Cricetulus griseus: one gene and its partner. The protein of the gene in region 2 interacts with the protein of the main gene of each other region in a pairwise test. Links are inferred from orthologs where the notes say so. Each region holds a gene or a part of one and is shown on either strand. Other genes may lie near its edges.

Region 1 (3,749 bases), on a different chromosome or scaffold from region 2:
ACATCTGAGTCCAGTAAACGATGTGCGAAGGAATCAGATGTAGTTCCTTGGGGCATATGACCTCCACAAACTTTACCAGGGGACTGTCAAGCAAGCATGTGTGCATCTTGACTGACTTGGAGAAGGCTTTAGCTTGCATCTCAGGGTCTTTCACAGGACTGGAGTAGAAATTCTAAACCTGGTCAACCAAAAAGTCAATGCAAATGAAGTTTCGAAGTATAGGCCTCAGGGCACAGCTGCACGCCCTATACCCTTTCTATATGAAACTAAAAAGCCATCGCTGGCTAGGAAGACACAGCCTGTAGGGCTTATTATAGAAACACAAACCAGGTCCCTTCATTCCTTGGCCCGGTATCTAGAATCAGTGGATCTTTTATTCACCTTTCTGTATTTACAGTAACTGTTTAAGAAGGTTCTTGATGGATTCAGAGGGCTGGGAGGATCACACTCAGCATCAACAACTAAACAACAACAACAACAACAACAACAACAACAACAAACCAAGCCCTCAGGCATGCAGGTCCCTTTCTGAGCCCACGCCTTTACCACCAGTGCAAAAAAGCCCAGGGGAGGTATCTGGGTGGTGGTGGTGCAGCCTTTAATCCCAGCACTCAGCAGGCAGAGGCAGGCGGATCTCTGTGAGTTCGAGACCAGCCTGGTCTACAAGAGCTAGTTCCAGGACAGCCTCCAAAGCCACAGCGAAACCCTCAACCCCAAAACAAACAAAAAAAAACCGCAAAGGTAACCGCAATGCTGGAATCCCGCTGCCACCTCGGGACAGAGGGTGACTCCACGCATGCCCGGCAAACTGCAGACCCACTGTGCACCAAGGACCCCACCGCCGTGCCCACCGGGGGTCGCGACCACGCCAGGGTGAGAGCCGCACTGGTCCCCGCCCACCCTTCCGCCGCGCGCGGGCCCGCCTCCCTCCTGACTTCCGTCCCGCGCGGCGGCGGTGGCGGCGGTCGGACGGTGCGAGTGTGGTCTGCACTCCCGGCGAGCGGACGGCTGGGGAGTCCCCTCGCGGAGGACCCGGCTCGTCCTGAGCTCCGCCTGCACGTGCGTGGCCACTCGTGGGCGGGCTCGCCACGGAGGAGGGAGGGAGCTCCCCGAGTCTGCTGGCGTCCACGTGGTGGGCATGCTGGAGACTTGAGAAGCTGGAGCAGAGTTGGAGGGGAGTTGCCAGGACTGTGCGTCCTTTCCGGGCTGTGGTGGAGCGGTTTCTCCCTGGACTGGTGACATCTCAGCCTCAGTTTCCTCGTTTTGAAGCTGCTCGTGGGTGGGTGCAGAGCCCCAGGGAGTTTTCTCAAGACCGGCAGCCGGCGGTGCCTTCCCATCCCCCTCCAAACCTTAAAGCAGGCGGGAAGCAAGTCCAGTCAGGAAGTCTCCCTGTTAAGCAGGGTTGCAAGGGCGACCGAGCCGTTGGCTATTATTTGTGCTTCCTCGTATCTGCCTTCCACTGCTAGATATTGTCCTGAAGTCTGAACGGGGAGTTTGGGAAATTCCCACCTTAAGATTTCTCAGTAAATAGGGTGACCCTGTATTGCTGTCCTTCCCCTAGTTTGTGAGTGGATTCTCCTAGCTGAAGTTCTGTGTCTCCTCCCACCTCTTCCCCCATTGTAGAGACCATCTAGACCTGGCCCTAAAGCCCTCGTTACAGAACCTGGCTTTAGCATTGGCATTTTATTTTTATTTTTTCCCATTTGAAAGGGACAGATCACCTGTTTAGTTCCCGAACTGGCCTCATTTCAAATGTTATTTTTTTATTTATTTACACTGGGCCTGGAGGGCAAATTTCCTGAGTTCTGGGTCTATAAGACCCAGAACTAATGACTGCTTTAGCTAGAAGTGAGGCTCTTAAAGTGGGTAGGACCCATGTTTTGTGATTTCTGTTTAGTAAGTACAGCTGACATTGCCCAGGGGTTAGGGCTGATGCCTTTCTTTGGAAAGCAGACCGACAATTTGTTCTTCCCCATGTTTAGTGGCAAATGACTTCTAGACCCAACATGAGTGACAGTTCCTGCAAAAAACGGGATGACTATCTGGAATGGCCTGAGTATTTCATGGCGGTGGCCTTCTTATCAGCCCAAAGAAGCAAGGATCCAAGTTCCCAGGTAAAGCGGTTTTGTAGGCGGATGTTCAGATACTTGCATAGATAGACACAAAGAACAGGTTAAAAACTGCAGCTGTAATCTGCTGACCTTTGTGGGGTGTTCCCTCATGCTTCTGTGCCACCTCCCCAGTGGTTACCAAACCTTTGGGCAATGTTTCTCTCTAGGTTGGAGCCTGCATTGTGAATACGGAAAACAAGATCGTTGGGATCGGGTACAATGGAATGCCAAATGGGTGCAGCGATGACCTGTTGCCTTGGAGGAGAACAGCAGAAAATAAGCTGGATACTAAATATCCCTATGGTAAGGTATCCTCAGATTGCATCTTGTCGTAGTTGAGTGCTTCATTGAAAAACTTAGGAAAGACCCTTTTAGTCATCAACGGGTAGAAAGGGAAAAAATTTTGTCATGAACTACCCTGTCTTCCTGTTTCCTCCTCTTTTAAACAGTGTTGTAATTACTTCTTTGATAATTTTATCTCCTTTTAAGATTTATATTTTTATCTTTATGTACATGCATTGTGCCTGCATGAGTTTATATGCACTACTTAGGTGTACTGAGTCTTTATCCCGCCAGCTGGCTCCCAAAACATGACACAGAGACTTCTTATTAATTATGAAAGCTCAGCCGGTAGCTTAGGCTTGTTTCTAACTAGTTCTTATTACTTAAATTAATCCATATCATTTAACCTTTGTTCTTTTCCATGGCTCGGTTACCTTTGCTTTGTAAAGCCCATGCTGCGTCTTCTGCCTCTTTTTTGAAACTCTTTCCTTCCCAGCATCCTCTCTGCCCTGAAAATTCTGCCTCGCTAATGGCCATTCATTTTTTATTAAACCAATCACAGCGACATACACAGTGCAATCAAATATCTTGCAATACATATTACAAGTGACTGCAGAGGCCAGAAGGGGGTGTCAGGTCCCTTATAACTGGAGCTACAGATGTTTGTGGGCTGCCTGATGTGGGTGCTGAGAATCAAACCTGGGTCTACCTCTGGAGCAGTGAGTGCGGTTAAGAGCTGAGGCTTCTCTCCAGCGCCTCCTGTTCCCATCCTCTTAAGTTTCAAAGAGAGCCACTGATGGAAGCATAGGCATTGTTATACAGGCTGGTCCTGAGTGCTGGCCCTTGCTGTCTTTGTGAGTCTGGTGTACTTCCCAGGGGCCCGAGAGCCTGTAGACACCAGAGCATGCAATGAAGGCCACAGCCCTTTGCAGAGACAGCAGGGACACACGTGAGGTGGCTCTGTAGGTTGTTCCTTTTCTTTGGGAAAGTGGAGGCAGCTTGCTAAGTGAAGCTTATGCTAACCAAGCAATGATTCCTCTTGCCTCATGGTCAAGTTCATCTCTGGGAAGCTGGTTTGAGACCAAGCTGGGCATCGCGAGGTGGATGGTGAGACTCCTCTTCCTATTGCTTGGGTCTGTCATCTCACCGTGGGCCATGTTCAGAACCAAAGGCAGCAGTAATAGAAATGAAGGCCTTGCCTTGGCTCTTTGGCTATTTACCTTGAAATTAGGAGAGGATGCTATGTTAGTTGCTGTTGTTGTGACCAGACTGACAGATATGACTTACGGGAAGAAAGGGTTTTTTTGTTGTTTTTGGCTTTTGGAGACAGGGTTTTTCTGTGTGTAGCCTTGGCTG
Region 2 (3,749 bases):
CAAAGCTTTGCCTGTAATCACAGCACTTGAGAGGATGGAGCTGCACATAATGAGACCCTGTGTCATCCATAACATTTTCAAAATTGAGATGTGAAAACTAACATTTTCAATGTCAAATGTCCTAAGGTCAGTCGGCTCCCAGAAGTATTGAAAGATTCAATGAATTAGTTCAAAGCCATCTTGTCATTAATGCAAAGCATGGTGGACTGTAAAGAAAAATGTAATGATAACTGAAAAGTATGGTGGATTGTAAAGAAAAATGTAGTAACTCCAAAGCATAGTGGACTGTAAAGAAATGTATTGATGGGCTGGAGAAATGGCTCAGCCATTAAAGGCTAGGCTCACAACCAAAAATATAAGAAATGTATTGATAATTCCACAAAGTAGTGTGTTCTGTTTTCTCAACTTAACAGAAGGGTATCTTGATTAGCAAGTCATTCAAATTTTGAGACTAAGCAAGGCTACTGTCCCATGTATAGTGTAAGAGCCATAATAAATGATTAGAAACAGCACTTACTGTAACAAAATACCCATGTGGCAATTTGTGGTATGTCATGTCTATTGAAGTATGAAATTAAAGTTTCAGTCTAACCCAGCACTTACTCTTACAGGCCCTTTGAGCGGACAATTACTATGCATAAGGACAGCAGTGGACATGTTGGTTTTATCTTTAAAAGTGGAAAAATCACATCCATAGTGAAAGATAGTTCTGCTGCCAGAAATGGCCTTCTCACTGATCATCACATCTGTGAGATAAACGGGCAGAACGTCATTGGCTTGAAGGTAAGAAGCACACTGGACCCTAGTTTTGGAGCCATTTTATTTTAGATAACATTGAGGTGGTGTGACTTTCCTGATGACCCTCAAACACTGAAACTTGGGAGATAAATGTAGGAGCTATGGTCTTAGGCCATCACAGTAACTCTGGGATGTTACCTGGAATTATCTTTTCCATACCAAGGTCACTAAACTATGATTCTATGATCTCTCTCTAGCTAGAATTCTGTGGAGAAATGGGCAGGGACATTTTTAGACATTGTGAATGGATGAATGTCCCAATATTTTTCAGTTCAGAAATACAGGAAAGGAATAAGTCTTGGTATATATTAATACTTTGATTTTTATAGATTTTGATCTATAAAGTTTTTATGGGCATAGCCCTGGCTGCCCAGGAACTCACTATGTAGGCCATGCTGTTCTCTAACTCACATGTACCTGCTTCTGCAGTGCTGGGTCTAAGGCACGTGAAACCCTGCTCGGCATATAAATCTTTGAATTGAGACTACCTTAAGATCTCAAGGTTTTAAGTAAGACTTTAACTCATAAATTCTGGAATACAGTTGACTGTGTTTGGGGCAAGCTCTCCATCTTCAGGTAAGGGAAGGATTGTGTTCAGTGCCTTCAACTTTGCTACCAGGTTGAAACACACATGTCTGTAAGATTAAAACTAAAATTCAGACATACCAGGGATTGGGACTCCAGAGATACTAGCATGACAACAGCAAATATAGTGTGACTCTTACCTAACAATTACAGTTTTATGTTTATTAAATAAAGCTTCAGTGAAATTAAATTCTGTTATGTTTCACTAGGATTCTCAGATTGCAGACATACTGTCAACAGCTGGGACTGTAGTTACCATTACAATCATGCCTGCTTTTATCTTTGAACATATTATTAAACGGTAAGTGGACAGCTCTACTTATGCTTGCTGTCTCCTGACATAAATGTAAATACTTCTTGAAGCCTGCAGTTCTGCTTATTAGAAATCAGTGGTTATGATGGGGGTTTCTTGCCTGTGAGATATTGAGTTGCTGTTGCTATTTGCAGTATGTCTCAGGAGGTAGAGGGGTGCATGGTGCTTGCTTTCTGTCCCCCAGAACCAAGAAGTATAAAGTCCATGCAAGCTGACAAGGGCCAGCAAGGGGTGATTCTGACTGTCTTTGTAGTTGGTACTGTTTCTTGGAAACCCTTCATTCAGAATCCTGATAGAAAGTGAGATTTCAAAGATACATAAACCTAACCTTTGTAATGGAATCTTTGTAATTTTGGCTTCTGGGTAGAATGCAGCTAAGTACCCTCGGAAGGGAAAATGTTGTGAGCATTTGACTGTTTTATAGTCTTTTTTTCTTTTTTTAACCATTGGTAGGTTCCTTCTCCACCTTTTCTTCTAACTCCATAGCCTTGCTGTTTTATTCTAATTAAACTGCCAGTCTTAAGGTAAATGACTTGCACCTTCTTTAGCATGTCGACCCTGGTGCAGATGTTTAGTTTTCCTGGACAGTCTTAGACAACTCAGTTATCAGTTCTGTAGCTCTGAGCTCATTTAAAGACCTTTAGACAATAGTGCTACACTGGAATTGGGGTTGTCTTGGGTTAAAATGGCATCTTTGAAAATAAGATATGAGTTATATGATGAGTTGGCTCTCTTGTAGGATGGCACCAAGCATTATGAAAAGCCTGATGGATCACACCATTCCCGAGGTTTAGAAACTTTGAACAACGCATTACAGCTGAATGTTTCCAGTTTTCTTCTTCGGCAACTTCTATATTTTGCATATGAAGCTTTCCGGGAGCCAGGGAGAATATGCTGCATGGGGACCTGTCTATCTTCCATCATGGCTGGGAACCTCACTCTATCTGATGTCTTCTGCAGATTTTAAGATAGTTGTAGCCTTATCCTGGTTTTACAGATGTGAAACTTACTGACTTTCCTAGAATCGTTTCTTTACTGGAAACCTGATGTTTTTATAAGCCATTGTGGTTAGGATGACTGGTGTAGGCTTAGCTGTGTGATAAGTGGTCACCTTTGTCCTAGATGAAGCACAGTGCTAGTCGTGTGCTTCACTTCTGTGGCACACCTGGATTTTTAGAACATCAGCATAGTACATTGAGGATGATTGCCTTTGGTAGTTACTTTTAAGTTTTCTCTGTATGAGTGTGTAAAATTCCAGTTAATCAACTCTGGTTTCATTCCACAAAAGCATTATATATTGTGTGTACTTTGCAAAAGACTGTCATGATTGTCACTAAATTTTAACTACCTTCACTTAATATGCTTCAACTGTCGCCTTAACTACAGCAAGCATTTAGAATAAAAGCCAAAATAGAATTATTGCTGCCTTCTGAGACCTGAGTGTTAGCTCTCTATTAAGCTGGTACCTGCCAGCCCCAAGCAGCTCACTGCTAAGCAGAGCTGCCTAGTTGTATGGAGATTTTCTAGTCACTGCATAAAGGAAACGCCTAAAAGTTGCCGTATCGCTTTCTGAAAAATAAATCGCTATATATTTCATGCAAACATTGTTATAGAAACAGAACAAATTTGGGGGTCGCCTTTTCACTTGTAGATTATGTGGGCAATATTAATTTGGCATTTGAATCCTAATATTATGTAATTTAGTCACTTTGGGGTCATCTTAGAATGTTTCCCTAGCCATTTTAATTTGTTCTATTTTCTGATTCCGTCCTCTAAACAAAAATGACAATGACACTTTATCTTAATTTTTTTTTCTTCTTGGTTTATGCCTATCCTAGTAATATCCTGATACTATCCTATTAAATGTATAAAAATGTTAACTTTTAGTCTGTCTGTTATTCCTTCATTCTTCTCACATCTGGGGTCTCTGAGAACAGTCCTGGAGCTAACACTTGTCTGAGATCCTTAGATGGCCAGGCCTGTACACTTGTAGGTGGGGAGAACCTGGTGAGGCTGCTGCATCTCTAGTGAAAGCAGAGAGCACCCACATGTA

What was found.
Region 1: the proteins of Sdcbp (region 2) and Dctd interact in binary tests that used the Homo sapiens proteins (3 or more experiments, as listed by UniProt). The two-hybrid records come from large-scale screens. The link is inferred for Cricetulus griseus from reciprocal best matches to the Homo sapiens genes SDCBP and DCTD.

What each region holds. Positions count from the first base shown.
Region 1 is NW_023276807.1:38,622,472-38,626,220, reverse strand, and holds the start of Dctd (deoxycytidylate deaminase), read left to right. Parts: upstream 1-956; 5' UTR 957-1,279; intron 1,280-1,982; 5' UTR 1,983-1,988; coding exon 1,989-2,114; intron 2,115-2,278; coding exon 2,279-2,414; intron 2,415-3,749. UniProt on the Homo sapiens protein: Catalyzes the deamination of dCMP to dUMP, providing the nucleoside monophosphate substrate for the thymidylate synthase/TYMS.
Region 2 is NC_048595.1:154,128,734-154,132,482, reverse strand, and holds the end of Sdcbp (syntenin-1), read left to right. Parts: intron 1-611; coding exon 612-783; intron 784-1,592; coding exon 1,593-1,684; intron 1,685-2,435; coding exon 2,436-2,490; 3' UTR 2,491-3,576; downstream 3,577-3,749. UniProt on the Homo sapiens protein: Multifunctional adapter protein involved in diverse array of functions including trafficking of transmembrane proteins, neuro and immunomodulation, exosome biogenesis, and tumorigenesis.